Linked DNA regions of Xenopus tropicalis. The protein of the gene in region 2 interacts with the protein of the main gene of each other region in a pairwise test. Links are inferred from orthologs where the notes say so. Each region holds a gene or a part of one and is shown on either strand. Other genes may lie near its edges.

Region 1 (4,366 bases), on a different chromosome or scaffold from region 2:
GTGCCAATGTGTGTGTACTTTATACATCTTACGAGTCACCACACAAAAAAAACTTGTCCTTTATGATCTTTTAGACCAGGGGTCCCCAACCTTTCTTACTCGTGAGCCACAGTCACATGTAAAAAGCCTTGGAGAGCAACACAAGCACCATAAAAGTTCATGGAGGTGCCAAATAAGGGCTAAGATTGGCTATTAGGCAGCCTCTATGCACACTATCATCTTATAGGAGGCTTTATTTGGTAGTAAATCTTGTTTTTATTCAACAAAAACTTGCCCCCAAGTCAGGAATTAAAAAATAACTACCTGGTTTGGGGGCACTGAGAGCAACATCCAAGGGGTTGGGGAGAAACATGTTGCCCCTGAGCCACTGGTTGGGGATCATGGTTTTAGACAGTCAGTGCTCAGGTTTGGTAACTTTGAGCTGCACTTACTTTAGACTGACTCAAACATGTACACAATTACCTACTCTAGACAATGAACGGCTGCATCAATTAACTGAAAAATTGGCTTGTGAGCCAAAGGGCACATACCGTACTCAGTACAGCCACTTTTCTATTGCCCTCTTCCCTTCCTCTGACAGCAACTATCTGCACAGTATTGTCACTACCTCGTCTGCTGATGCACAATTGCACCATACAGTCAGCATAATACATTGGCAGATTCAGGCCCAGACTGAATGCCAGAGGGGCTGCTGTAAGATATCATAGACATTCACTGTTTAGTAGGCTAGTGTGGGGCCTCTATGCAATTTGAATGCCAGGGCCTATTTTGAGCATCAGTCCAGACCTGGGCAGATTACTTTTTCCACCATGTCTGATGACCCAATCTATATGCATGGTACAAAGATATTGTCTTGATTGTCAGGCCAGCCTGCAATATATTAAAACTGGTTATACAACTAGAACTAACATGATTTTCAGTACTTGTAGGCTGATGTGACACTCAAGACAATATCTTTGTACCATACATATAGGTGCAGCCTTAGTAACCATAAAGGACAGTACTAGGAAGATTATATAAAAGTTTAGAAAATAAATGTATATATTTTTATATATATATATATATATATATATATATATAAATATATATGTTTAAATATATATATATATGTTTAAATATATATAAATATATACATGTATACATTTAAAAAAAAAATAATAAGTGTGTAAAAAAAAAAATAAGTGTATATATATATATATATAAATGACACCCTACCCTCTGCCGATCTGATTCCAGCTCGCTGGTAACTGCGCCCAGTTCTCTATCAATACGGCAACGCCGGCAAACTTAGGGTGTTTACGGTAAATGTGTTCTCTCGCGAGAGTTGCCCAGAGATTGCTGAGAGCGGGATTGTTCATTTCAGGGAAGGGAAGGAGGAATCTGGCGGTGAGTGAGAGGTGCTGTATTGGGTGAGCATGGGCACAGCCGCACAGGTCTCCTGCTCTACAGTTATTGGTGATGTACGCACTGCTGGTGTCTATGTGCAGCTGTATTGCAGGACTGCAACTCCCAGATTCCACCAGTTTCTCAAGTCAGTGTTGCTCAGGGTCCCAAGCTGCTACATTACAGCCAAGTTCGCAGCAGCAGCCCAAAGGGAAGTTTTAAAGCGTGCAACTATTTCCCCTTTGACTTAAAGTGCTAGAAACCACTGGCCTTGGGATCTTGAAGAATGCTGGGAAATGTAGTCAGAAGATCTAGTCTACAGCATGCAGTAATAGCCTATTAGGAGGGCCCCCCCAGCACTTGTAGACTCTGCTTCCTTGGGATTACTTAGGATTTTTGCACAGTTAGACATCTATCAAAGAGCATATCCATAAAGAAGAAGCAGATCCTGCCATTATAAGGGGGCAGTGGGGTGCTTACTGATAAGCGGTTTAATAAAAAATATATTATTAATGTGTTAATGATTTTGATGGGCTCTTTAATGCTTTCATACTTCTTGTGGGTTACATTGGAAGGGTTAAAAGGCTGATGAGTTTTGAGCATGTAATGCTCTACATTATGGAAAGGCTTCCCCCCCCCCCCCCCCCCCCCCCTTCCCAATCCAGAAAGTTTAAGATCCCAAGCATTCTGTGGATATTATATCTCGGGTTTATAAAGGAAATATAGACCCTCAACAAATTATTGAAAAATTGCTCCAAGTGCTCATGTAAGCACTTTTGCCACTTTTGCCTCCATTCAAGATATTAACAGTTTTTCAGCTGCTAGTATAATGAATTTGATTCAGCAGTGCTGGCTACTGGTCATTTTGGCTGCCTGGTTGCAATCAGCAGAAAATTAATTATGTGAGAAGACCAGTGGCTTGTAAAGTTGCTCTGCTTAGAAAATGAAGTGAGCAGAAAAGAGTCATCTGGGGTTGCTCTGGTCATTTCTAAGCACATTGTCATCACAAGATGTTCCTTTCCTCTCTCTAACTTTTCATTTTCATCTGACTGTATGCAGATAGCTAAAATAAACAGCAGGTGGCGCTGAGGTTTGAAATTCATTATATTAGCAATTATGTTTAACATATGTGTCAGGATCCACAAGGGTAACCGTGTTGTTTACGAGGGGTCTTCATGATTCCCCTAAATAATATATTTTTTCCTACAATTAAATATAGTGAAGCTGGCTTTAGAAAATAACTTAGGGCCCCTGAGAAAAGAGCTTATGAATGTAGGCAATGGTCATAATTAAGTTAAAGAGCTGCTGCAGTTACGGAGTGTCAGTATATTACTGAGTTTGTACCATGGTGCAATTACACTAGCACTTTATAGGGTGTAATTTGCATTAAATTTTCCAGTAACAATATTGTTATTATTTACTATGCATTTTTATACCTTATAAAGTAAAATTAGATATGTGCTGTCTATTTATGGTTGTATTTTTTGTCTTTCTCCTTTTAAAATTGAAACTTATTTTGTTAAATTGCCCTTTAGGCGTGAAATGGAAATCTCCCCAATTGCTGGTGTTCGTTGCATTGCCATTATTTATATTATCTGTGCAGAGAATTGCATCTTCACATAGTGCAGATAAAGACTTAAGGTGGCCATACACGGGCCGATTGTAGCTGCCAATATCGGCCTGTGTAGAGGCAGGAACGACGGGCATGCCTGACCGATATCTGGCCTGAAATTGGCCAGATATCAATCGTGCAGGTTATAAGATTTAGTCGGATCGGGGACCGCATTGTTTCGTTGATGCAGTCTCTGAACCGACTGCACCCATTACTGCCAGTGTAATTCGATTGTTTGGCCCCAGGGGTCTCTTAATGTTCCTTGTTAGGTTTTTTCCCCAGCTAGAAACCTTAGAACCGTACAGTCATATACAAACATATTTGTATTCTGGCTACATAATCCACTGACATTTTCCTCCCATTGTTTCAGATCTGCCTGTAACCTGTGAACAGCTAAAATGGATGACAGTGAAGACAACACCACTGTCATTTCCACACTACGGTCATTTAATAAATTTCTTTCTCAGCCATTGGAAGGGACAGCACCTTCTCTTGGTACTTCAACATCTACTGGAGCTTCCCTTCAAATGCAGTTTCAGCAGCGCTTTCTGGTATGTGTATATATATCATTAATATTTATTAATATTATCTAACAGAGGGATGTTACTATGCAGGTCTGTACTAATGTTTGCATTTGACTAAAACTGGGGGCGGTTATAGTTAAACATACCTATTACCGCCCCCAGTTTTAGCCTAAACTAGTCTGTGTACAGGAATTTTCACAACAGACAATTGGCTTATACATAACTTATGCAGTTTGTGTAAGTTTAGCAACGCAGCTGGGCCCCCTTCTGAAGCAGAATTCACCAGTATTCTGAAGCAGGCCCACCAGTACCCTCCATCCCCCCTAATGGCAGCCCTAGTTGGACCACATATATTGGTCAGTAATGTGCAAACTATATAACATTTCTTGCAAAAGTTGTAAAGTTCACATGCCTAGAGTAACTACAGGTCCTACAGACATGCAAAATATATAAGCAACAGTAGTCTGTCCTCTCAGATCTACAGTTGAACTCCTAATCGCTAAATGGAGGGGACCCATGTTTTTACCTCAGTATCATAGCTCTTGTTATACTACAGCTTGTATTGGGGTTACTTTTGAAACAGCTACTAACAGTGATCCCCTGCAAACAGGTTACATAAGCAGAAAGCCAGAAAGATGTCACCCTTTGTTCTCGTGTCTGAGAACGAGAGCTTTACAGTGACAGCCTTATGCAGGGGTCCAGCTGTTGCAGATGTGTTTGATACATACTTTGCAGATACCCCCTACCAGCTAAGTCTGGGTTGATAGGATCTGCCATTTTTCCCCTATAGTGCTGAGTGTTCCTTATTCTTTAAAATAATGCTTTTTCTCTATACAGTACAGCATTC
Region 2 (4,384 bases):
ATTATATAAAACCTCTGGGTTTCTGCCTTTCAATTATATTTTAGTATCGTAGATGGAGTAAAAATTAAATTACCTCTGTAGATTTTTCAGGGACTTCAGCCTTAACTTCAGCCTTAATTTTCCATGCCTTCTTCTCACTGGCTGCCTGTAGTGGGGGAGCCTCAACCCATTCCTCCTCAGAATCCTGCAAAGACATAATAGTTTAAGGCTAGTGGTAAAATTGCTACAAAACACATCCTATAATAAAGATGCAATAAAAGTGAACCATTATATCAACATGTGAACGTTCCTTTAGTGTAAAAGGAGACATATTGGATAAATGGAAAAACCCCAAGTTTGTTGGCAATTATGAATAATATATGGTGCTGGTTTCACTTTGGGCTAAACGTAAATCCAATCAATTTTAGCGTGGGCGTGTTCTAAAAGTCCCTGCCACAAGGACAGTAGGAGGGGGATAGCCAATCACAGCCTTGCACTCACACAAGCAAAGACAGGCTTCAGTTCCCTATCAGGTCAGCCTAGCTGCTGATTGGCTCCTATCCTACAGTGCAGTGTACTGAGAGCTGCCGGCTCCCCTGCACATTCAGCCAGCAGGAAGTGGAACAGATGGTTGGGACTAGTGGGGTTTTGGTGGAATTTCTCAATAAATCAACCCAAAACACAACTTTTTTTAAGCACAATCCTTCTATATTTAGAGGAGTATAATTCACTGGTACATTCTTAATTTTTATATGATATGTCTCCTTTAATAGGTTATGTGAAAAAGTCCCTTTTTGGCATCTAAACATAAACTTTATATAGTAATATAATTCTTTCATATCAATTTCAGTTTGATATGCTTTGTGCATAAAACCACTTTTCTTAAAGGTATTTGCTTCAAAATGCAGGGCTTGTACTTCTGTAAAGTGGGCCTTGGCACTGCTCAGTCTTTCCTGCCCTATGTTCCAAATTGAGTGCTGCTGTGCATATTAACATAGGGGCACCCTGGAGCTACCAGCACCTCCTGACCAGGCAGTAGCTCCATAATTCCCTCTGCTCCCTCAGTCGCTTAAGTGCAGCTGCACCAAAAGAATCAGGCACACGCTGAACGCTTAAAATTACGACAGTGATCGCAGGCAATGATACCAGGCAGATATGGAAAATATTTGGTGCAACTGCACCTGATTTGCAACTAAGCACACATGCATTTGCTCCATTTTCAGACTTAATTCCGGTAGGCGCAGTGCAATTATGTCAATAGGATTGCCCATTTGCATCAAAACCTGGGTTGTGGAAAAGACACAGCATTGTGGGGAAAAAATACATGTCGACGGCCCTCGAATTCGCATTTTGCTCACTGTGCCTTGTAAACCAATGCGCCCAATTATCTTCCCTTCCCAATGTCCCACGGTATACCGAAGAACTGTCCTCAGAATCATCATTCCTTTCCGATTTCTGCTTTTTGCTTTTTTTCTTTTTCTCCTTTTTCAGTTTGTGGCGGTGTTTCTCCTTTTTCTTTTTATTCTTTGCAGAATGTTCCTGAAAAGACAAAACACAGTAAAAGAGACATAAAATAAACAGCATGATGCTTAGAAAAAAATATATTTAGCGATAGTTTGATTGGTTCTTCTCTGGACACAAGAACTTACAGAGTACGAAGGATTTTGCGAGCACAAATTAACTGGCGGCTAAAATCAGTTTATAGCTATTTATGTTTACCTGCGTGTATTACCTGATTTAATGCTTCTAACCGATCATTAACATCATCTAGCATCCAGGTGTCTTCTCCTCGTAGGCGCTGCTGCTCTTTACGCTTCTCTGCTTTAGAGTAGTCATCTTTGGCCTATAAGAATTAAAGAAAAAGAAAATGACAGAATAGTCATAAATCTAATTCAAAAATAAAAAATAATAATGAAAAAAAGCATAATGAATAATTAAGCAAAAAATAGCAAACAGCCAAAGTTGGTCAGAATATAAAGTATGACTTATATAAAGTAATTCCATATATCCATTCACCTACTTACATAATGGAATGCCTTTTATGTTACCTATGGGTAAATGCTACGTTATGTTTTGACAGGTAAAATAGGCAAAAAGTATGTTTAGCACAGGCCTAGTTCATTGTATTATGGCTGAACAAGGGGATATACAGCCACATTTCAGCTTTGTCAATATTTATTATACTTATTGATATGTATTTATAAACATATTCCGCAGCACTGTACAATAAATGGGTGTACACATAGAACATACATGGAACTGGAACTCTATCCCTGAATCCCCCCGTAGGGAAAACTCACCCACTCTCTTTAAGATAAAACTCAGATGCTACCTTCTGGAGCACTAAAACATTATTTTGCCCAGTCCTGCGCTTAAGGGCAAATGCCCATACCTGGTGCCCTCTTACCTTCCAGTTTGTGCCTGTATTTTACCCAACCACTTAGATTGTAAGCTCTACGGGGCAGGGACCTCCTTCCTACTGTGTCTCATACCACATGGCACTTATATATATATATTTATTGTATTTATTTATTATAACACTTGTCCTCCCTGTGTGTCAATTTGTATTCTGTAAGATTGTACAGCGCTGCGTACCCTTGTGGCGCTTTACAGAGCTGAGTGGGCACCTGGGAGTGTAGGAAAGCTGCATTAATTGGGAGGTTAGATTAATATGTGATTGCAAAACTGCAGCAGTTGCTGAACTACAACATTCCATTCCCACAGGCAGCTCTTGCCTCTGCCTTCATTGTCACTAATAACATGGGTCCCTGTGCTACTGGCCCCTCAGCCCCTGCCCAATACAAGCCGCCTGTACCTTGCTGAGCAGCTCCTGCCGTGCTCTCCTCTTGCTCTCACGTTTCTCCTCAATACTCCTGCTACTTTCAAACATGCCTCCGTCAGCTGCCATCACTCTGGCACCTTAAAGCTGTAGCTGTAATCCACTAATAACAAGGGCGGCTCAAAATCACTGCTTGCTCCCACCGTATACTGCCGCATCAATTCTGTGACTTGCAAACACGCTTTTTAGTAAGGTAATACAAAACACGGCAGATAAACTATAAGCCGCAGCTACATCGCCTCCATATTGGTACACCCGGAAGGGGGACATAACCATTTGGATACACTGACGTCGCATCCATGTTAGTACACCCAAAGTAACAGGGTACATCAATGAGGTACCGTAACGTCGCCGCCATGTTAGTACACCCGGAAGTAGCGTGAAGCCAAGATAAAGACTTCCTACTAAGAACTCAGTGCAAGTTTACGCAGGATTCTAGGCGAGTGGAACTCCCGCCTGTAGAGAGGGGTGGGTTGCGCTGTAGTGAGTTGTTGGGTCGCTTTGCTGCAGGCTTATAGCTGCCCGTCGCCCTTTTGGTGAGCAGAGTACAGATACTGTTAGATACAGGTCCTGAATAGGGCTGAGTGAGAAGGGCAGGGTAGGGGCGCATTTGCCCAAGCTGGGTCCCTTGGTGGGGAGGGAGGGGGGCAGATATGTTTTCAGGTTTATGGTGAGGACAGAGGTAATGGACAGAGCTAAAGCAGTGGTTTTGGTATGTATTTAGACTAAATGTGCCTTAAATATCATTAATGTACCTTCATTTTTAAATTATTATGCCCAAATGAACTTTCATTTCTAAATGTTGCACACTATGAGCGCCATCTTGTGTGTTGGTCACTGAGGATTATGACCTTAAGGGGCACATTTACTAACCCACGAACGGGCCGAATGCGTTTTTTTCAGGATGATCGGTATTTTGCGATTTTTCACAAAATTTTCGCGACTTTTTCATAGCCGTTCCGAATGTTTCGCAAAATGTCGCGACTTTTTTGTAGCGTTACGACTTGCGCGAATTGTCGCAACTTTTTCGCAGCTTTCGCGCCGAGTACGAAAGTTTTGGATTCATTCAAGCTGGTGACTTTTCTTGGGCCGGGTTGGAGCTGCAGAGTGCCATTGAGCCCTATGGGAGACTTTCCTTGGGCCGGGTTGGAGCTGCAGAGTGCCATTGAGCCCTATGGGAGACTTTCCTTGGGCCGGGTTGGAGCTGCAGAGTGCCATTGAGCCCTATGGGAGACTTTCCTTGGGCCGGGTTGGAGCTGCAGAGTGCCATTGAGCCCTATGGGAGACTTTCCTGGGCCAGGTTGGAGCTGCAGAGTGCCATTGAGCCCTATGGGAGACTTTCCTTGGGCCAGGTTGGAGCTGCAGAGTGCCATTGAGCCCTATGGGAGACTTTCCTTGGGCCGGGTTGGAGCTGCAGAGTGCCATTGAGCCCTATGGGAGACTTTCCTTGGGCCAGGTTGGAGCTGCAGAGTGCCATTGAGCCCTATGGGAGGCTTTCCTTGGGCCAGGTTGGAGCTGCAGATTGCCATTGAGCCCTATGGGAGACTTTCCTTGGGCCAGGTTGGA
Region 3 (4,274 bases), on a different chromosome or scaffold from region 2:
AGCTACAAAATTATATCCTGTACATGGTTCCAGCTACAAAATTCAATTCCGTACATGGTCCAGCTGCAAAATTCAATTCTGTACATGGTTCCAGCTACAAAATTCAATTCTGTGCATGGTTCCAGCTACAAAATTATATCCTTTACATGGTTCCAGCTACAAAATTCAATTCTGTACAGGGTCCAGCTACAAAATTCAATTCTGTACATGGTCCAGCTACAATATTCAATTCTGTATATGGTTCCATCTACAAAATAATATCCTGTACATGTTTCCAGCTACAAAATTCAATTCTGTACATGGTTCCATCTACAAACTTCAATCCTGTACATGGTTCCATCTACAAAATTCAATTCTGTACATGGTTCCAGGAACAAAATTCAATTCTGTACATGGTCCAGCTACAATATTCAATTCTGTACATGGTTCCAGCTACAAAATTCAATTCTGTACATGGTCCAGCTACAAAATTCAATTCTGTACATGGTCCAGCTACAAAATTCAATTCTGTACAGGGTCCAGCTACAAAATTCAATTCTGTACATGGTCCAGCTACAAAATTCAATTCTGTACGTGGTCCAGCTACAAAATTCAATTCTGTACATGGTCCAGCTACAAAATTCAATTCTGTACATGGTTCCAGCTACAAAATTCAATTCTGTACATGGTTCCAGCTACAAAATTCAATTCTGTACATGGTCCAGCTACAATATTCAATTCTGTATATGGTTCCATCTGCAAAATAATATCCTGTACATGTTTCCAGCTACAAAATTCAATCCTGTACATGGTTCCATCTACAAAATTCAATTCTGTACATGGTCCAGCTACAAAATTCAATTCTGTACGTGGTCCAGCTACAAAATTCAATTCTGTACATGGTCCAGCTACAAAATTCAATTCTGTACATGGTTCCAGCTACAAAATTCAATTCTGTACATGGTTCCAGCTACAAAATTCAATTCTGTACATGGTTCCAGCTACAATATTCAATTCTGTACATGGTCCAGCTACAAAATTCAATTCTGTACATGTTCCAGCTACAAAATTCAATTCTGTACATGGTCCAGCTCCAAAATGATATCCTGTACATGGTTTCAGCTACAAAATTATATCCTGTACATGGTTCCAGCTACAAAATTCAATTCTGTACATGGTCCAGCTACAAAATTCAATTCTGTACATGGTTCTGTACACAATTCTGCCTCCCTGCAGACTGGACCAGTGCTATAGAATGGGTTAGATAGGGTAAGTGCTAAATACACACAGAGCATAAGTTTCTAAATAGCCGCAGTAGTTACACTGAATTAAAGGCAAAGTTATATATATTTCGATAAGAAAGAGAGATCAGATTAACTCTCTGGGGCCTGGGAGAGGGGGTTACAATAAAGGGTAAGCTCACCTCTTCTAGAACAGTTGGTCCGTCTGGGAGCTTTCAGCCAAGCGTCTTACTCCGTCCCATGTCAGAGAGCAGGAATGGCAAGGAGAGAAGGAGAGGTGTAGAGCACGGGGGTTTGGGAGGGGCGAAGGCGGCTGTGTAGAAATGACTTCCTGGTCTGCACACAGTCGCATACCACAGTGCAGCTTCACAGTCTGCAGAGATCACTTCCCATTACTGGCTGCACGGCTGCTGCTGCTGGGGAGTCACATGGAGAGGCAGTGAGGTTAGGAACGTTAATGACCAATGAGCCACCGGGCAATAAACAGTGCAATATTCTAGTGATGCAGAGAGTGCTATTCTGAGAAAACTTGCAATTGGTCTTCGTTTTTTGTTATTTGTAGTTTCTTAGTTATTTCACTTTGCTCAGCAGCTCTCCAGTTTGGAGTTTCAGCAGCTATTTGGTTGCTAGGGTCCAAGTTATGTTAGCAACCAGGGAGTGGTTTGGATGAGAGATTGGTATATGAATAGGAGAGGGACTGAATAGAAAGATAAGGAATAAAAAGTAACAATAACAATAAAACTGGAGCCTCACAGAGCAATAGGTTTTGGCTGCCGGGGTCAGTGACCCTGTTGCTGGGGCTCCAATTACCTTAGCAACCAGGGTGTGGTTTGAATGAGAGACTGGTATATGAATAGGGGAGGGGCTGAATAGAAAGATAAGGAATAAAAAGTAACAATAACAATAAAACTGGAGCCTCACAGAGCAATTGTTTCCGGCTGCCGGGGTCAGTGACCCCCAAAGAGTTGGTAGAAGAAGGCAAATATTTAAACTATAGGAAATAAATAATGAAGACCAGTTGAAAAGTTGCTTAGAAATGGCCATTCTATAACATACACAAATTACCTTGAAGGTAAACCGCCCCTTTACGAGCAGCATTTGCCCAGCTCCCCCCCCTTTCCCAGGTATGGCAAGTCACCCTATCAGAATTCGGAGGAGAGCAAATATGCCACACAGCCCACATTCCACCCTGATTGGCATTCAGCCTCGGCATCCGGACACATTACACCACTCACGTGGCTAAAGAAGGTGTACTTTCCCTTTAATTGTAATTATTCATTTAATTGTAAGTAACGAGGGCAATTAGCGACTTACCTTACCCACGGGGGAAGGACTTATTCATCAAGAACGCACGGCCGGGTGGGGCAATTAATAGAGACCGGCGGATGCCTACAGTGCTCACTAATTGGCTTAATTGCACCCATTAGAGGTCAGCTGACCTCGCACACACTCGGCCAACCTGCTCCCAAAATCAACCCACACGGATACAGCCCCCCCCAATGTTATTGGCTACTCCCCCTTACTATTTAGCTCCTCCCCCAGCGGCTACGGTTTCTATATGTGCATACAGGACCCTCCAATCAGGATCCTGAAGGTTTTACCTTCCCATAATTCCAAGAGGAAATGGGTTTGGCCTTTACACAGAACACCTGGATCTGCTAAACAAAGGTGGGGGGGGGTCGTCACCAACCTGTGGCAGATACCGGACCCGTTGGGACATGTCGGTTGCCTGAGATCGTCACTGGGAATTCCACGTGCTCGGAACTGATTGGCTCGTGGCTTCCGGTGGCTGCATGTGGCTCGGCCGTTCCGCTGGGATTGGGGAGTCGGCGTTGGAGGCCGGGAGAGAAGAGAGGGGGGGGTCGGAGGAGTCTTCCGAGAGTGAAAATTGGGATAAAAGTGGATTAAAGGGGAAGGGGGGGGCAAAAGGTATTTGCCTTGGGTGTCAGTTTCGATTGCCCCAGTTCTGCTGTCAGTGACTTATTTTGGGGGTGTATGGATGGACAGATGTGCCCCCCTGTCCCCTCACACAGGCCATTGGGCTATCTGGGCAACCATGTATATGGCCCAATCACACCCGCCATGTCTATCCATTCAAGCTTTCCTCTCTATGATTTTATCTCTCCCCTCCTCGCACTAAATGACTCCCCTGGGGCACCATCTCCAGTATGCGCCACTGTCTCACCCCTGGCACCCTATACCCACAGCGAGCTACTCCCAAACATGGCAAAGCTGGGCATCCCATCTGATCTCCATATGGGAAGTGTCGTTCCAAGATGGCTGTACATGGGGGAGAGGCAAGGTGCAGGCGGTACATGGGGGAGAGGCAAGGTGCAGGCGGTACATGGGGGAGAGGCAAGGTGCAGGCGGTACATGGGGGAGAGGCAAGGTGCAGGCGGTACATGGGGGAGAGGCAAGGTGCAGGCGGTACATGGGGGAGAGGCAAGGTGCAGGCGGTACATGGGGGAGAGGCAAGGTGCAGGCGGTACATGGGGGAGAGGCAGGGTGCAGGCGGTACATGGGGGAGAGGCAAGGTGCAGGCGGTACATGGGGGAGAGGCAAGGTGCAGGCGGTACATGGGGGAGAGGCAAGGTGCAGGCGGTACATGGGGGAGAGGCAAGGTGCAGGCGGTACATGGGGGAGAGGCAAGGTGCAGGCGGTACATGGGGGAGAGGCAAGGTGCAGGCGGTACATGGGGGAGAGGCAAGGTGCAGGCGGTACATGGGGGAGAGGCAAGGTGCAGGCGGTACATGGGGGAGAGGCAAGGTGCAGGCGGTACATGGGGGAGAGGCAAGGTGCAGGCGGTACATGGGGGAGAGGCAAGGTGCAGGCGGTACATGGGGGAGAGGCAAGGTGCAGGCGGTACATGGGGGAGAGGCAAGGTGCAGGCGGTACATGGGGGAGAGGCAAGGTGCAGGCGGTACATGGGGGAGAGGCAAGGTGCAGGCGGTACATGGGGGAGAGGCAAGGTGCAGGCGGTACATGGGGGAGAGGCAAGGTGCAGGCGGTACATGGGGGAGAGGCAAGGTGCAGGCGGTACATGGGGGAGAGGCA
Region 4 (4,491 bases), on a different chromosome or scaffold from region 2:
TATGTTGCTCTTCCTCCTACTGAGTCTCCTACATCTTGTTCCTCCCCCTACTGACTATTCTCTATGTTGTTCCTCCTCCTACTGAGTCTCCTACATCTTGTTCCTCCTCCTACTGACTCTTCTCTATGTTGTTCCTCCTCCTATGGAGTCTCCTACATCTTGTTCCTCCCCCTACTGACTCTTCTCTATGTTGTTCCTCCTCCTATGGAGTCTCCTACATCTTGTTCCTCCTCCTACTGACTCTTCTCTATGTTGTTCCTCCTCCTATGGAGTCTCCTACATCTTGTTCCTCCCCCTACTGACTCTTCTCTATGTTGTTCCTCCTCCTATGGAGTCTCCTACATCTTGTTCCTCCCCCTACTGACTCTTCTCTATGTTGTTCCTCCTCCTATGGAGTCTCCTACATCTTGTTCCTCCCCTACTGACTCTTCTCTATGTTGTTCCTCCTCCTATGGAGTCTCCTACATCTTGTTCCTCCCCCTACTGACTCTTCTCTATGTTGTTCCTCCTCCTATGGAGTCTCCTACATCTTGTTCCTCCCCCTACTGACTCTTCTCTATGTTGTTCCTCCTCCTATGGAGTCTCCTACATCTTGTTCCTTGTCTCTAATACAGGTGGGGGAGAGGTGCCATGAAGGAAAGGCAGGTTCTAGTTATAGGGAATTCAGTTACAGGGAAGGGCAAAGCATGACGGATGCCCCGGTGCCAGGAACTGACTGTTTATATTTATATAATTCTACTTTGGTTGCAGTTGGCACAAGGTTATTTATAAATAGATCCGGCATTGTATCACGGGGCCTATTTCCCACAGTGAGGGGGTCTGTGAATTCCAACAGCCAATGGAGGCCAACTGTATTCACTGGCCAATCAGAGGAGGCGACCAGTCAGAGTTTTCTGAGATAAAATAAAGAGGTTATGTTTTTTTCAATTGTGGTTGCTGGGGGGCAGTCATTAATGAGATCCCGGTACCTCCTGAGACACCTCCCTGAGATACCCCCCCAACAGTAAGAATGGCCCCTGTCCCATAGCGTTAGTGCCACACACAGGGGGTTAGACCAAGAGAGCCCCAGGGGGTACCTGGAAGATATCATTGGCACACTTTCGGCACAGGTTGTGCTGGCAGGGCAGGATCACCACGGGTTTGGTGAACATCTCCAGGCAGATGGGGCAGATGAGCTGCTTCTCCAGGTTGTCCATGGTCTGGGTGTCTCCGGCCAAAGGCTTGAAACCCACCGCAAAATTCATCCCCTCACAGGATGCTAGGAAGAAACAGGCAGCAAGATGTACTGGGGGTATATATGTGCCCCCCCAAGGGCCCCTCATCCCTAAATCCTCCCACCAACAGTACCACGTGCCCTCCCACCCACTCACAGAGGCCCCAGCACCCCACCCTGATCATGCTCACCCCCAGTCCCGCAACCTCACCCCCTGCCTTTCTAACCTGCGGGCACTGCCCCCAGTCCCACAACCTCACCCCCTGCCTCTCCAACCCGCGGGCACTGCCCCCAATCCCGCAACCTCACCCCCTACCTCTCTAACCCGCGGGCACTGCCCCCAGTCCCGCAACCTCACCCCCTGCCTCTCTAACCCGCGGGCACTGCCCCCAGTCCCACAACCTCACCCCCTGCCTCTCCAACCCGCGGGCACTGCCCCCAATCCCGCAACCTCACCCCCTGCCTCTCTAACCCGCGGGCACTGCCCCCAGTCCCGCAACCTCACCCCCTGCCTCTCTAACCCGCGGGCACTGCCCCCAGTCCCGCAACCTCACCCCCTGCCTCTCTAACCCGCGGGCACTGCCCCCAGTCCCACAACCTCACCCCCTGCCTCTCCAACCCGCGGGCACTGCCCCCAATCCCGCAACCTCACCCCCTGCCTCTCTAACCCGCGGGCACTGCCCCCAGTCCCGCAACCTCACCCCCTGCCTCTCTAACCGGCGGGCACTGCCCCCAGTCCCACAATCTCACCCCCTGCCGTTCTAACCCGCGGGCACTACTTCCAGTCCCACAACCTCACCCCCTGCCTCTCTAACCTGCGGGCACTGCCCCCAGTCCCACAACCTCACCCCCTGCCTCTCCAACCCACGGGCACTGCCCCCAGTCCCGCAACCTCACCCCCTGCCTCTCTAACCCGCGGGCACTGCCCCCAGTCCCACAACCTCACCCCCTGCCTCTCCAAACCACGGGCACTGCCCCCAGTCCCGCAACCTCACCCCCTGCCTCTCCAAACCACGGGCACTGCCCCCAGTCCCACAACCTCACCCCCTGCCTCTCCAAACCACGGGCACTGCCCCCAGTCCCGCAACCTCACCCCCTGCCTCTCCAAACCACGGGCACTGCCCCCAGCCCCACAACCTTAACCCCCAACACTTAGCAGCTTCCCCAGCCAAGGGGCCCTCAGGCTGATGCCACTGTGCCAGGCGCTTGGGGAGTGTGGGCAGTAGAGGGTAAGTTGCCCGGCCTGTCGGTCTCAGTTGAGTTTATCTTCTCTTGTATAGTTTTAAATAAAAAACATTAAAACCCTGCCCCCCCCCTCAATTCACACAACATCCCCAGTCCTGTGACCCCCCCCCCACAATATACCAAGCAACCCCCCCATCTAAACCCCTGAAAATTACTGTTCCCACCCAAAAACCCTGTAACAACCACCCAGACCCCCCAACCCAGCTGCCCCCCAAGTTCTGTGCCCCCCACTTACTGGTACTGGGTGTCCTGCCCTGAGCGCTCTCACAACTCTCTCCCCAAATGATACACAAACTGGGAGACTAAGTGTTGAGGCTCCGGTCACTTCCTCCTGCCCCCCCCCAATGATTAACCCTTCTGTGCCAGTGGCTGAGCAGCTAACAGAGCCCCTCGCACCAGGCTGTGCCCCCCCACTATCAGGCAGAGTTAATGCGACATGAGTGGAAGGGGGGCAGGGGGGCAGGGGGGCATTCCTGCTGTATATTTAGCTCAGGGATAAGGAGCGGGGGGGGGGGGGGGCAAGTCTGGGGTGCAGCTGTCACACACTCACTGAGCAGCTGATAGTGAGTCACACTCACACAATGACTCAGTAACAAAGGCACGCACCCCCCCCCCCACATACATATATATATATATATATACATACACACATGCACCCCCCCACCCCCTATAATATATATAGGAACCCCTCTCAGGCAGCACAATAAAACACTAAAGATAAGTGGGGGGGGCCTGGGGGGGTTTCTGAACAAAGAGATTTAGTGAAGCCGCATTAGTTGTATGGGATTAAACCCAATGGGAAAACTGTCTGTGCAACAATGTGGGTCCCCTTGTAACTGTGCTGAATGTAACTGCTCAGTACTGATTACTGGCAGCACCTAATTGGCTGGATTAGCTCGTTACGCCTTGACCTTCACAGGCAGGTGTGTCCAAAAGGTATTTAATGTGACCAATTGCAAGTTGTGCTTCTATTTGACTCTCCTGAGTGACAGCAGGGGATCCTCACAGCAACTCTCAATAGATCTGAAAGCAAAGATTGTTCAGTACAGGGTTTAGGGGGAGGCTACAAACAGCTCAGATCCCAGAGGGTTAACCTGTCAGTTCCAACTGTAAGGAACGTAATCAGGAAATGGGAGGCCACAGGAACAGTTGCTGTAAAACCCAGGTCTGGCCTGTCAAGGAACATCCAAGAGCGGAATATTGGGGGTGAATTGTGAGACTGGTTCCAGACAAGCCAAAGATCCCACCTCACCCCCCAGGAACTTCTTGCTGCAGACGGTGTATCTGTACCTGGTGCTACAGCGCCATTTGCACAAAGACCATCTGGATGGCCGGGGGGTGGGAAAGGAGCCCTTTCTGCCCTCGCGCCCCACATACCGTCGCTTGTTGGGGCAAAAGCTCATTTAGCTGCAGGCATCTGGGAACAAAGTGCTTTGGGCTGATGAGACACAAATGGCGTTATTTGCTCATAACAAAAAGCGCTTTCCCAGAAACCCCCACTGCCGACTGTCACATTGGGTGGGGGTCCCATCATGCTGTGGGGCTGGTTCAGGGACCGGGGTCCTTGTTAAAGTTGAGGGTCGGATGAATTCACCCCAATACCAACCCTTCAGGATCATGTCTAAGTGTCAGGCAGAGAGTTGCAGTTCCAGGGGTTGGATATTCCCACAATGAGCCCAAACACAGTGGGAAAGCTACAAAGGCATTTATGCGGGGGGTCGCACCCCCCCTGAATATCATGGGAAATCTATGGGCTGATTTGCAGCAGTCACATGGAACTGGGGGGAGTCTGTATGGGCAGTGATTGGGCAGAAATACCCCCATACAGAACCCACACACTCACCCAGGGCTGTAGGGGTGCCTAGGGGCTGTTACATCTCAATATCGCTGTTGGGGGGCCACACTCACTTTGTTACGGTGCATACTGTATATTTTCTGAAATAGTACTGTTCCCATAGGGCAGGTTATATATTAAAGGGGAGGTGCTACTGTGAGAGCCCAGCCAATGAGAAACACCAAAACATTAAGTTGGG
Region 5 (3,799 bases), about 5.7 Mb from region 2:
CTAATCACATAATAAGGTTATAGATATACAAACACATTGGTGTAGCAGCCATCAGTATTACCCCTAAACCCACCCTGGAATTCTAGGAGAATGCTGCATTGTGGGAAAAAAACACGGTGATTGCACTTTGCTCACTGCACTTGGCAATGTACATGGTCTTATAGTTGGGAGAAATCTAAAATCCTGTGATCTCATATCTCAAATCTATATGAAAAAGAATTCTAAATAACAAGTTTAATGTTTATAAGGGATTATGTAGTAACGTGGTCTATTGTTACTGTTTGGGTTACCAGACTGGCGCAGGCATTCAGCCATGATACTTATTATTATTACCCCCATTGCATTTAGTAGGCAGTAATAGAGAGACCTGGTGACAACCACATTCTGCGCAATCCTGGCTTTCATGTCTTCGTTCTGCTGCTGAAGGACCTGGACTTTCTCCTCCAAAAGAACGTTTATTTCAGCCTGAGAGAAGAAGCAGAACCAATGGTAAGTGACCCATCTCTCTGCACATCCCGGCAGCAGAATGAGCATCCTGGCAGCTTTACTGTAAGGGACGTACCAGTTTTTCCAATTCCATTATTCTCTTCTCCTGTTGATGGATTAGTTGGTTCTTCATCTCCAGCACTTGTTTCACACTGTGCAAATCTTCATCCAAGTGGCGGTATGGCGCTAGGGCAATCTGCAAAACAACCGTTTCATTTTCAGACATCGAATTATGCAAAGCTGCTACGGCAGAAGATTGTTTCACGCCCCAGTATGTTGTACGTGTATAGTAAAGTGTAGCGTTTGCTTTCTCAGAGGAGGGGGGAAGAGAAAAGGGAAGGTTACCACCCGGCCAGTGTTTGACTGGCCCAGTCACTAACTCACCAGTCACTAACTCACCAGTCACTAACTCACCAGTCACTAACTCACCAGTCAGGGCCAGAGCTGGAATTGCATAATTACCGGCAATATAATTGTCAGTCAATTTGTAAAACTGTATAAACCCCTCCCTTCCCTAACCCTCTCCGCTGCTACATTACCCTTACCCCCAAGTGATGTCACCAGTCACCCCCGACCTAAAGTCCTTGTTATCAGCACTACACAGGCAGGCCAGCTAGAGGTAGGCCAGATTCTGTGGAACACAATATTATGAATTTGAGTTTCAAAGGACATTCTGCATAAAACTGATTGTGGAAAAGAATTGTACAGACCCCCATGTGGTTATCTTAAGGTACTGTCCCAACGTTACCTTAAATTAAACCTCTCTAAAACTGAACTGGTTCTCTTCCCCCCATCCAACGCCCACATTGTTCCCGAGGTATCTATAACGGTTAACAATTCTACCATCACCCCATCTTCCCAGGCCCGGTGCCTTGGGGTTATCCTTGATTCTGCCCTGTCCTTCACTCCTCATATCCAATCACTTATCAAATCATGTCGCTTTCACCTAAGAAATATCTCCAAAATCCGATCATTTATCACCCAAGATGCTGCCAAAATTCTTATTCACTCTCTTATAATATCTCGCCTGGACTACTGTAACTCCCTATTAATTGGCCTTCCCCTCCAAAGACTGTCCCCTCTCCAGTCCATAATGAATACTGCTGCCAGGCTCATACACCTCTCCAACCGCTCCTCCTCTGCCGTGCCGCTCTGCCAATCCCTGCACTGGCTTCCCCTACCATCCAGGATAAAATTCAAACTAATGACCCTCACATTTAAAGCAGTCCATAACTCTGCCCCACCCTACATCTCTGAACTCATCTCTAGGTACCATCCAACCCACTTGTTACGCTCCTCTACTGACCTGCTCCCCAACTCCTCTCTCATTCCCTCCTCACACACTCGCATTCAAGGCTTTGCAAGGGCTGCCCCCCTTCTCTGGAATTCACTCCCACAAACTGTCAGACTTTCTCCCAATTTCTCTGCCTTCAAGAGATCTCTAAAAACACATTTATTCAGAGAAGCTTACCCTAATCTAGTTTAGCAATACCCTGTGCCCCACCTCTCACAACTCTGTCATGCCCATTCCCACACCTTGTGTCTCAACCCTTTCTCCTTGTAGATTGTAAGCTCTTTTGGGCAGGGCTCTCTTCACCTCTTGTATCGGTTATTGGTTGCTTTATATGTTACTCTGTATGTCCAATGTATGGAAACCACTTATTGTACAGCGCTGCGGAATATGTTGGCGCCTTATAAATAAATGTTAATGTAATGTAATACCTCTAACTGTTCATTCGTGCTTCTCATCAGCGCCTCCTCAAACCTCCTCGCTCTGTCTCGTAGCGTGTTATTCTGGAACGTTAATGTGTCCACCTGATCCTTCAAAAGGAGCAAGATGAGAAATAGACAATTAGATCCCCCCGCTGTAAACTCTCCTCTAACATCAACTCTATACACTAATTGTGATCTTCCTTATAGCAGAACTAAAACTAGGCTATCATTACTACAGCTTATGTTTTAGGCTCCTGGAGCAGCTGATGCTCACATGCTGATACCTACAGGCTGGAGGTGCAATAAGTTCGGTATATAAAATATGGCATTTCTAGGCATATTTATGTTTATGGTTTAGTTCTCCTTTATGTTCTCAAGCAAATTGTACTTGTGTATTAGCTGCCACATAATGAGACTCTAAATTATTTACTAATCAGCCTTATATTGTGGCATTTATATTCTATATATACAGTATAGTGCGCCATTTATATTCTATATATACAGTATAGTGTGCCATTTATATTCTATATATACAGTATAGTGTGCCATTTATATTCTATATATACAGTATATTGTGCCATTTATATTCTATATATACAGTATATTGTGCCATTTATATTCTATATATACAGTATAGTGTGCCATTTCTATTCTATATATATAGTATAGTGTGACATTTATATTCTATATATACAGTATAGTGTGCCATTTCTATTCTATATATACAGTATAGTGTGCCATTTCTATTCTATATATACAGTATAGTGTGCCATCTCTATTCTATATATACAGTATAGTGTGCCATTTCTATTCTATATATACAGTATAGTGTGCCATTTCTATTCTATATATACAGTATAGTGTGCCATTTCTATTCTATATATACAGTATAGTGTGCCATTTCTATTCTATATATACAGTATAGTGTGCCATTTCTATTCTATATATACAGTATAGTGTGCCATTTCTATTCTATATATACAGTATAGTGTGCCATTTCTATTCTATATACAGTATAGTGTGCCATGTATATTCTATATATACAGTATAGTGTGCCATTTATATTCTATATATACAGTATAGTGTGACATTTCTATTCTATATATACAGTACAGTGTGCCATTTCTATTCTATATATACAGTACAGTGTGCCATTTCTATTCTATATATACAGTATATTGTGCCATTTGTATTCTATATATACAGTATAGTGTGCCATTTCTATTCTATATATACAGTACAGTGTGCCATTTCTATTCTATATATACAGTATAGTGTGCCATTTCTATTCTATATATACAGTATAGTGTGACATTTGTATTCTATATATACAGTATAGTGTGCCATTTCTATTCTATATATACAGTATAGTGTGACATTTGTATTCTATATATACAGTATAGTGTGCCATTTCTATTCTATATATACAGTAGTGTGACATATTCTATATATACAGTACAGTGTGCCATTTCTATTCTATATATACAGTACAGTGTGCCATTTCTATTCTATATATACAGTATAGTGTGCCATTTCTATTCTATATATACAGTATATTGTGCCATTTCTATTCTATATATACAGTACAGTGTGACATATT
Region 6 (4,363 bases), about 14 Mb from region 2:
CAGATGCCCAGGCCCATGCACTGGCTACCCAATTAGATGGTTAGGAGGGAGGGGGAAAGTGTGAGCTGAATTAAAAGTTAAAGTACTTGTCTGCAGGCAATATATGATTGACAGCTGGGATTTTTAAATGCCTTTATAATGGGTTTGGGTGTGTTAATATAAAAATGAATGTGTGTTTCTTATTTAATTTCAAAAGGACTTTTATTATACAGATTTGTATGCCTGGGTGACAGGTCCACTTTAAATGTTGTGCATACTGTGAATAGATCCACAGAAAATGGAGCAGTTTCTCCATACATGAAGTTGCACATAGAGGTGTGTTACATTACAGAGCCATTAGAAACCAGACTGAGATCCAAAAACCAGACATCACATTTAAAAAACCGGGCTGTCTAGTCTAAAACCAGACAGGCACAACCCTAACTTTATCAACTATAGTAATAATAATTTTATAACCAAACTGTTCTTTTTGATCAAGGGAAAGAAGGTTCAAGACTCAGGCAATTAAATGTAGAACCTTCTAGTTAACAAAGAAAATAGGCAACTAATTAAACAGCAAAGACATAGTAATTTTTTTTACAACATATAGTACTTTTCTTTGCAGTGTAACAAATTGTGCAAATACAAATTGCATGGAGAAACGCTGAAACGTTATTACAGGAAATTAGCAAAATGATTCAGCAATTTTTGTAGTTCTAAAATTTCCATATTTTGTTCCAGGAGAAAAACAGCCCAAGAAACACAGCAACTGATCGTACTGCTGAAGAGGCGGATTGGAAACACATGGTTAGCTAAAATGAGAGTGACAAAATGTCCCTTAAATAATTTTGGGGAGCCTAAGGGATTCTGTGAATTAATGGTATGTGCTGAACTGGACCATCTCCATTGCTTTCCAGGAAGACCATTCCACTTTTGCTCAACAACCTTCTTGAGTTACTCTAATGACATCATGTGAAATACATCTCTCCATATGTGCAGCAGCAGCAAGCATTACTGACAATCATGTTATTGTAGTATGGGTTGGTTTTGCACCATGTCTCATCAGTGACAGAAATCACTACAGTCTCAGCATATGAAGCTCCCTCCCTTTGCTAGGCACCCACTAATCAATAAAAAAATGATTGTTTAATCAAAGGACAACTGACACACAAACACAATTTTAGGGTTCTATGTGCATTATAAATCCTGTTCTGTATTCCTGGTACCTGTCTTCGCTTGCATTTGAATCCTGGCCTGATGCATGGGGAAAGGCTATTGGGTTTATTTAACTAAAACTTGCCAACATATTTCTGTTTGTGTAGGATCCTGCATCAAGCAGCAGGAGTAGCTTATTGACTGACACCCCCAGTATTACCCAATCCTACATTCCCCTCTTGTTCTTTATAGGTTTCCGAGGTTCCTGAGTAGTGATGAGTGAATATCTCCTGTTTTGAAAAAAATTCTGAAACTGTGGGAAAATTCATGAATTGTCGAAAAGCATGGAAATCAATTGGCATTTGTCTGCAGCGGCTGTTTTTGTGCATTGCACATTGGAGTCTATGGGTGTTTTGTTGCAAAATTTTGTGAAAATATTTTGCAACAAAACTGTGGAATTGTGCCACAAATCCATATCTGGTGAAAAATTATGCTCATTACTATTCCTGATTGAACTATTTGCTTTGTATACCTTGTTTTTCAATCCTGTTCCTTGTTATGGCCCCCCTCCTTGTCCTGAGACATTGTGGAATTGTGCCACAAATCCATATCTGGTGAAAAATTATACTCATTACTATTCCTGATTGCACTATTTGCTTTGTATACCTTTTTTTTCAATCCTGTTCCTTGTTATGGTCCCCTTCCTTGTCCTGAGACATTGTGCTACCCAAATATATAATACAGAGGTTCTAGCTTTTCATAACACGGTAACCCCAAGCATTTCATGACATCCTGTAGCACCATCATTTCAAGTGCCAGTGGCTCCAGAAATTTGTGATACACTGCACCTAGCATTAAATGATAAAGTTGCCTCCACAATCTATGAAACAGTGGCCCCAACATTTCATGAGGCAGCAGCCACTAGGGTTGCTGCCTTGCCTCAATCTTTGTGATGTCAGGGGCGGAGCTTTGGTGGGCCACATATAAGGGGAAATCGTGATCAGGGCAAGCTAGATAGAGAGCTGGGTGAGAGGATATTAGGCAGGTCGGGTGGATCAGAGGTGGGCATGGGCAAAGGACAAGTTATTGCAAATTTACTGGCAGCTACATTTCAGGTAGATTTGTAATTTTGGCTCTGGCCCTTGCAGGCCAGGGCGGTGAAATACCAGCCAGGTGGCAACCCTAGTGGCCACAGTATTTCATGCAACAGTGCCCAAAGCATTTAATGACACAGTGCCCCCCCCCCAACATATATCCACATATCTATAATTATATACCGGATCTGCATTAACAATGTAATCACATATTGATTTATCTTTTTAATAAATGCAGATTAGAGTATTTTAACCTCTTCACACAGAGATTGATCATCTTTAACCAATCACAAATTCTCAAGAACCCAATTACCTGCTGTTGAAACAAGAGAGAATTCTTCTATGAATGACAACACAATTTTTTAACCTTAACAACTTTATTATACATTTTTGACAGTGCTTTCTTTAACACATGGTCTAAGGAAGACCTTTCTTTTTAAGTCATTGATGCAAGGGTGTTATCTATCCCTATAATATTATATACTATAATATTAACATCCAAATATAAAGATTCGTGATATTCCATATTAAATTCATACCTAGGGGCTAAAAGATTTTTTTTCAAGTTCCTCTTAAGTGCCCCACGACACCATTAAATGTAATCAATGTACTGAATCTCAGGAGGTATACATACCGTGTTCTGCCAAACGTCCTAGTCAGCATATGATGATGAGGCGAGGCTACCCATTAAGGTCTTGTCTATCTGTAGGGAGAGAGTATGTTCAAAATGTAATAAATTCCCTTGTAACACAAAATTTTATAAATTAAGCAAAAATTCAGCCAGGGAATTTACCTAAATAGAATTAAGTCAAAAAATGTCTAACAGGCCAATTTAGCAGAAATATATGTGTATAATGAAGTGCTATTAGCGGTCACTAAATACAACGTTGGCACCTAAAGCGGGAGTTGTCTCAGCAAATCTAGAAGAACAAAACTTGGAACAACCAGTTTTTGCAAAAAAATAATCAAAATATTTTGTCACAGGCTGGGTAACTGACTGAATTGTAGACACTAAGGAGAGGATGTACCACATACTTATGATATTAGGAAGACCATACTGTAAATTACTGCCTTTCTGGGGGTTTTCACTAATGTATTACACAGTGGCCTCAGCATTTCATGACATTGTGATGTTAGCATTTTATGACACAGTGGTTCTGGCAATATATGAAACAGTTACCCCTTTGCATTTCATAACAGAGAGACTCCAGCAAATTTTGACAATGACCCTAGCCTTTCACGAGACTATGGTCCAAGTAATATGTCAAACAGTGTGTCCTTTGCAATTTATGCCAGAGGGAACCCAGTATATATGACACAGTGGCCCCAGAAATAATGGTACTTTCAGCCCAAAAAATCATGATATTATACTGTAGGTACAGTGGCCCATAAAATGTATAACACACCATTGGCCCAGCACATCATAACAGCATTTTAAGCAATTTGTGACAATGCGGCCCCAACATTCAAGACATAGTGGACACAGCTTTTTTATGGCACAGTGAATCCAGCATTTCATACCATAGGATTGCACCAGCAATATATTACACAGTGGCCCCAACAATTTATGATACAGTGGCCCCAGCATTTGATGACACATGAATTTCATGGACAGTGAAACCAGCATTTCATGGCAGAGTGTGCCTCTAGCTATATGACACAGTCCCTAAAATTATTAGGGCTGAGTAGCCTCAGCTTTCATGATACTATTCAATATATGGTGCTATTTCTCACTTTCTGACTCCAGCAAATGGAAAAAATAGAAAGTAATTGAATGTCATGTATAAACTTACCCTCAGGGCTAACAACCCACATCAGTCAAAAAATAGGTGAAATTTATAGGTCTGCTATTTGAAGCAAATGTGTAAAAATGTTCAATGGACTGCTCTTTACAGAAAAGATAATGTTATCAGTGAAAGAAAATGCAATGAAAGGAGAAGACTTTCTACTTGTAAACACACTGGTTAATAGTTAGCAATAATGAAACTGATCATCAAACATGTATAAGTAATTATTAGTAATTTATATATTATATAAAGTTTCTTGAAATATTAAAATACCTACATATATTAAAGTGTTTTGGGTTTAGAATCAATTTGACCAGTGGACAGTAGGGGGCTTATATGAGTCTGACT
Region 7 (4,286 bases), on a different chromosome or scaffold from region 2:
TGAAAAGTGACATCCTGCTCTGCACATTCTGGAAGTGATGGGGGAAGTAACGCTGAAGATTGGCACGTCAAATTTTGGACTTTCTGGAGGGTATATATTACTAACACTTTGTCAATGTAAGTTGCCTGCACCTTTTGCATGTTTCCCTGACGAAGACCCCTCGTTGTAAGGGCCGAAATGTGTTGGGTATTTCTATGTGTGGCATTAATAAATGATAAAAAAAAGGTTTATTTAAGAGTGCCCTGTTTTTTGCATTTGTGCAGCTTAATACTGCAAGGAAAACTATGGTTGGAAAAGGAATAATTTTTAAAAGACAAGATTGACATAAAGGGCTGATTCCATGTTCTAATCCTCTGAAAGATCAATACTTTGGGTGCAGGTTGGAAAGCAGCTTTTGATGGTCAGGTGCATGTTAGAAGAGACCTGCTAATTACTAGTAGGAAGGTTTTGTCACTACTTGATGGGATGACACCCCAAATCACACCACATGCCCTCTCATCAACTTTTTACTTCTAACTGCAGCCAATGCCCTTTAATCTTTAGGGCTGTTCTTGAGGTAAGAGATCACATCATCATCCTTAACAGGACTTAAAAATATAACCTGCTGTACTTACTTGCTCCTCCAAATGTTTCTTCTCTTCTTTAATGGTTTCTATGAGGTTTGAAACGTTTTTCAGAGACTTGAAATCATTTCCTATCTCCTTTTCTACAAATTCACACACATACAATGGAATCTCACATGTGTCCAAATCCACCAGTCCACAGATGTCACTCGGGTTCTTGTGGTCACTTTGATTGGAAGTGCCGGACTCTCTTCCAGTCTCCAAAGAAGCCATAATTGACCTGGGGAACAAGAAAAAGCATATTTATTAAAAGAAAAAAATAAATAAATTCAATTTTTTTAAATAAAAACACTTTTTCTTTTGTATCAAGTCCCTATGTGTGCGGCATTCTTTCTATTATATTTTTGTTTTTGACCTGCACCAAGGGCATTTGGATTCTGGATAACAGATCCAATACCTGTATGCAGATATATATACAGGAATGGGATCCCTTATCCGGAAACCCATTATCCAGAAAGCTCTGAATTACGGAAAGTTCATCTCCCATAGACTCCATTTTAATCAAATAATTCAGAATTTTAAAGCTGATTTTCTTTTTCTCTGACATAATAAAACAGTAACTTGTAATTGATCCCAACTAAGATATAAATAATCCTAATTGGATGCAAAACAATCCTATTAGGATAATTAATATTTTTTTGGTTTTTTAGTAGACTTAAGGTATGGAGATCCAAATTACGGAAAGACCCCTTATCCGGAATACCCTTGGTCCCGAGCATTCTGGATAACGGGTTCTATACCTGTATATGTATGTGTGTTTGTGTATATCAAATGTAAAAAAGGGGAGTACTTCCTCTATAAATACAAAGGCAGAGCTAATAGCGCTGAAGCAAGCTAAATGGTTATCAAAATAAGCTGTCTCTAAACTTCAGAGCTGTTGCAGAATAACAAACTCAGCAGAAAGTGTGTTGATATCTGACAATAATCCAATAATATGAATAGCTACTTTAATCAAACTGGTGAACATTTACATGCAGCAAAGGGCTTCCACCTCATATTTAGAATGAATCACCTATAACATCACCATTCTGCACAATTGATGACTAATCATGTGATGCATGCAGAACACTGCACTGTTTTTTATGCAGCCATGCACTGCACATCTGTGTTTATTACTCATCATCCCTGCGTAAATGGTTTTAATAGGCATCTGATTACTTAGGAATGGGGTTTCCAGATATTCCTATGAATCCGAACCTCTACAATCAATCTATACTGCATATTAAAAAGGTAATAGGTTTGTTGCATGACACACAGTTGTACAGAGGCCAACATAGGCTGCATTATGGACATAAAGTTCTAAGCCAGTGATCCCCAGTCAGTGGCTTGTTAGCAAGATGTTGCTCACCGCCCCCTTGCTCCCAGGGGCCTCAAGGTTGGTGCCCATTTTTACATTTCTGGCTTGGAGGTCAGTTTTACTCCAAGCAGAGCCTCCTGCAGGCTAGCAGTCCACATGGACTGCCAAATAGCCAATTACTGTGCTTATTTGGTACCCCTAAAGACATTTTTTAATAATTATTATAAAATACATATATTTAATATTTTTAAAAATATATATCTTGGGTTTTTGTTTTCCTTTCATTTAAGAGGAATCTGTAGTTTACAAGTTGACATCTTACCTGTCAATATTGCTATATGAAGGAGCACATGACAGCGGATCCACGTTCCTCTGCCTGGTTAAAAAAAGCAGGCAGAAGAAAGCAGATCTACTCCATCAATATTGTTTACCACTTGTACTTTAGGGCTTCTATACGAACTCAAAATGCATTTATTTATTCATTCATTAAAAAATAATAAAATCTTATACATTACTTTAAAGCATGGTGTTTTTCCCTGCAAAATCATTAAGATGCAATGCATTTCAGTGAAAACAACGTTTTTGTGTCAGTTTCCAGATCAATGCAAAAATGATTAGCACAATAATAGATGCAAATGCACACGACCCTAACTTGTATACACAAGCCGCCCCTGGGGAGAAATTACTTATTATAAAAAAAAGAAATTCAACCAAGGTGATGATTTTAATTTTCAAAGGAGTTACCTCTTCTGTAGATCAAGCAAACAGTTCGTCTGGGAGTTAGTTTCGGGCCCAGAGCCCACGACTCAAAGTCACTTTCGCAAATTGCAGTCCCGGGGATAATTTGTAGGTCTTTCGTAACGCATCTTGCAGCAGTCCCTGTGACAGCCTACACACTGTCACCAGCACTAAACACACATCACTTCCTCAAGCTGAACGCTCAGCAGCGGTACAAACACATCACTTCCGGTGACTTTGGCATCTCTCCCGCACTGCATACGTCACTTCCCAGTTCTGCGCCCTCTCACCTAAGCTGCAGACGTATAACTTCCTGCCCCAGTTCTCTCTGTAAAACCACAACTTTATTAACAAATTCGGCGTTAAACAAAAATGGACTCAACTGGTAGCGGAAATATAGCCACAGTGGCACTAAACAAACTATGAAGTTCCTGGCTAACTAGCAGCGTTATGAATTGCAGCCGCACAGTTAGAGAGCAATTCTCTCTGCAGCAGCCACGTTTTAAATCTTTCGCAATTCTAACGTGAATAATAATGACACCCTGCTGAATGAATGGCTATAAGTTAAAGGGGAATGCTTTTTTTTTTTTTTAAGTCCTTCATGAAAGAAAATCGATTCCAAGCAATGTTCTAATGTACATGAGTAGTTTTAGAGTTGTAAATGTGTTTGTAATTTGATGCACTGTTTGTCCTTTTCTGGTCTGACTTTTGCAACAACGTACCAAGAGCCAGCTCTTACCTAGCTCTTACCCAGCTCTTACCTAGCTCTTACCCAGCTCTTACCTAGCTCTTACCCAGCTCTTACCCAGCTCTTACCTAGCTCTTACCCAGCCATTACCTCAATACTTTCCATGCTTATTCAAGCAGCTGGCTTTTGCAATGCAGAAAACATAAACATGAAAAAAAAGTACTGGTCCGTTTTTGACTTCCTAATCAATAGCCTAAGTACTGTTTTCAGTTGCAATTATATTGCATTTAAATTTGTAATTAAGGAAATATGGGGAAAGTTGAATAGGCCTTTTTACAAAAAACAACAGGCGGAGCTCTGAGGAAACTGCCTTTAGTTTTTATAGTCTGCGGTAGGCAAATTAGATTGAGAGTGCTACTGAAGCAGGGCTGTGATGTGCTGGAACTATATCAGGGATGGTTTAAGGCTGTGGCCCCCAAAACCACAGGAGGCCTTGGGGCTAAAACATATAAAAGTACAACAAATTTTTAAGGAATATGTAAAGCCTACAATGTAAATCAGTTGGGAACATCTCCCCCACCCAAATGGCATCATTTGTACTACATATATCCCCTCCCACCCGGTGGCCATTTTTCTTACATACTCAGATACATTTAAATCTGCAAACAGCATACACACACAGACCCTTATTCAGCGTACATCTCCTTGTAGATTGTAAGCTCTTTTAGGCAGGGCCCTCTTCACCTCTTGTATCAGTTATTGATTGCTTTATATGTTACTCTGTATGTCCAATGTATGTAACCCACTTATTGTACAGCGCTGCGGAATATGTTGGCGCTTTATACATAAATGTTAATGTAATGTACATTTAATCAAGAATACAGGCACAACTGTCTGATAAAAGTTCTGCTTTGTTTGAGCACTGTAATGGTAAAGCTAA

Evidence for each region.
Region 1: the proteins of cwf19l2 (region 2) and mad1l1 interact in binary tests that used the Homo sapiens proteins (3 or more experiments, as listed by UniProt). The two-hybrid records come from large-scale screens. The link is inferred for Xenopus tropicalis from reciprocal best matches to the Homo sapiens genes CWF19L2 and MAD1L1.
Region 3: the proteins of cwf19l2 (region 2) and card9 interact in binary tests that used the Homo sapiens proteins (3 or more experiments, as listed by UniProt). The two-hybrid records come from large-scale screens. The link is inferred for Xenopus tropicalis from reciprocal best matches to the Homo sapiens genes CWF19L2 and CARD9.
Region 4: the proteins of cwf19l2 (region 2) and trim54 interact in binary tests that used the Homo sapiens proteins (3 or more experiments, as listed by UniProt). The two-hybrid records come from large-scale screens. The link is inferred for Xenopus tropicalis from reciprocal best matches to the Homo sapiens genes CWF19L2 and TRIM54.
Region 5: the proteins of cwf19l2 (region 2) and mtus2 interact in binary tests that used the Homo sapiens proteins (3 or more experiments, as listed by UniProt). The two-hybrid records come from large-scale screens. The link is inferred for Xenopus tropicalis from reciprocal best matches to the Homo sapiens genes CWF19L2 and MTUS2.
Region 6: the proteins of cwf19l2 (region 2) and calcoco1 interact in binary tests that used the Homo sapiens proteins (3 or more experiments, as listed by UniProt). The two-hybrid records come from large-scale screens. The link is inferred for Xenopus tropicalis from reciprocal best matches to the Homo sapiens genes CWF19L2 and CALCOCO1.
Region 7: the proteins of cwf19l2 (region 2) and rint1 interact in binary tests that used the Homo sapiens proteins (3 or more experiments, as listed by UniProt). The two-hybrid records come from large-scale screens. The link is inferred for Xenopus tropicalis from reciprocal best matches to the Homo sapiens genes CWF19L2 and RINT1.

What each region holds. Positions count from the first base shown.
Region 1 is NC_030685.2:31,040,223-31,044,588, reverse strand, and holds the start of mad1l1 (mitotic spindle assembly checkpoint protein MAD1), read left to right. Parts: upstream 1-1,347; 5' UTR 1,348-1,386; exon of another isoform or gene 1,387-1,409; intron 1,410-1,437; exon of another isoform or gene 1,438-1,460; intron 1,461-3,365; 5' UTR 3,366-3,393; coding exon 3,394-3,546; intron 3,547-4,366. UniProt on the Homo sapiens protein: Component of the spindle-assembly checkpoint that prevents the onset of anaphase until all chromosomes are properly aligned at the metaphase plate.
Region 2 is NC_030678.2:160,179,833-160,184,216, reverse strand, and holds the start of cwf19l2 (CWF19-like protein 2), read right to left. Parts: upstream 2,985-4,384; 5' UTR 2,888-2,984; coding exon 2,795-2,887; intron 1,823-2,794; coding exon 1,712-1,822; intron 1,519-1,711; coding exon 1,396-1,518; intron 185-1,395; coding exon 74-184; intron 1-73.
Region 3 is NC_030684.2:6,411,707-6,415,980, forward strand, and holds the start of card9 (caspase recruitment domain-containing protein 9), read right to left. Parts: upstream 3,089-4,274; 5' UTR 2,911-3,088; intron 2,719-2,910; exon of another isoform or gene 2,535-2,718; intron 1,637-2,534; 5' UTR 1,403-1,636; intron 1-1,402. UniProt on the Homo sapiens protein: Adapter protein that plays a key role in innate immune response against fungi by forming signaling complexes downstream of C-type lectin receptors.
Region 4 is NC_030681.2:162,398,497-162,402,987, forward strand, and holds the start of trim54 (tripartite motif-containing protein 54), read right to left. Parts: upstream 2,855-4,491; 5' UTR 2,694-2,854; intron 1,259-2,693; 5' UTR 1,245-1,258; coding exon 1,077-1,244; intron 1-1,076. UniProt on the Homo sapiens protein: May bind and stabilize microtubules during myotubes formation.
Region 5 is NC_030678.2:154,502,589-154,506,387, forward strand, and holds part of mtus2 (microtubule-associated tumor suppressor candidate 2), read right to left. Parts: intron 2,308-3,799; coding exon 2,209-2,307; intron 683-2,208; coding exon 563-682; intron 466-562; coding exon 368-465; intron 1-367. UniProt on the Homo sapiens protein: Binds microtubules. Together with MAPRE1 may target the microtubule depolymerase KIF2C to the plus-end of microtubules. May regulate the dynamics of microtubules at their growing distal tip.
Region 6 is NC_030678.2:146,265,495-146,269,857, reverse strand, and holds the start of calcoco1 (calcium-binding and coiled-coil domain-containing protein 1), read right to left. Parts: upstream 2,944-4,363; 5' UTR 2,863-2,943; intron 1-2,862. UniProt on the Homo sapiens protein: Functions as a coactivator for aryl hydrocarbon and nuclear receptors (NR). Recruited to promoters through its contact with the N-terminal basic helix-loop-helix-Per-Arnt-Sim (PAS) domain of transcription factors or coactivators, such as NCOA2.
Region 7 is NC_030679.2:77,093,195-77,097,480, forward strand, and holds the start of rint1 (RAD50-interacting protein 1), read right to left. Parts: upstream 2,959-4,286; 5' UTR 2,665-2,958; intron 844-2,664; 5' UTR 837-843; coding exon 615-836; intron 1-614. UniProt on the Homo sapiens protein: Involved in regulation of membrane traffic between the Golgi and the endoplasmic reticulum (ER); the function is proposed to depend on its association in the NRZ complex which is believed to play a role in SNARE assembly at the ER.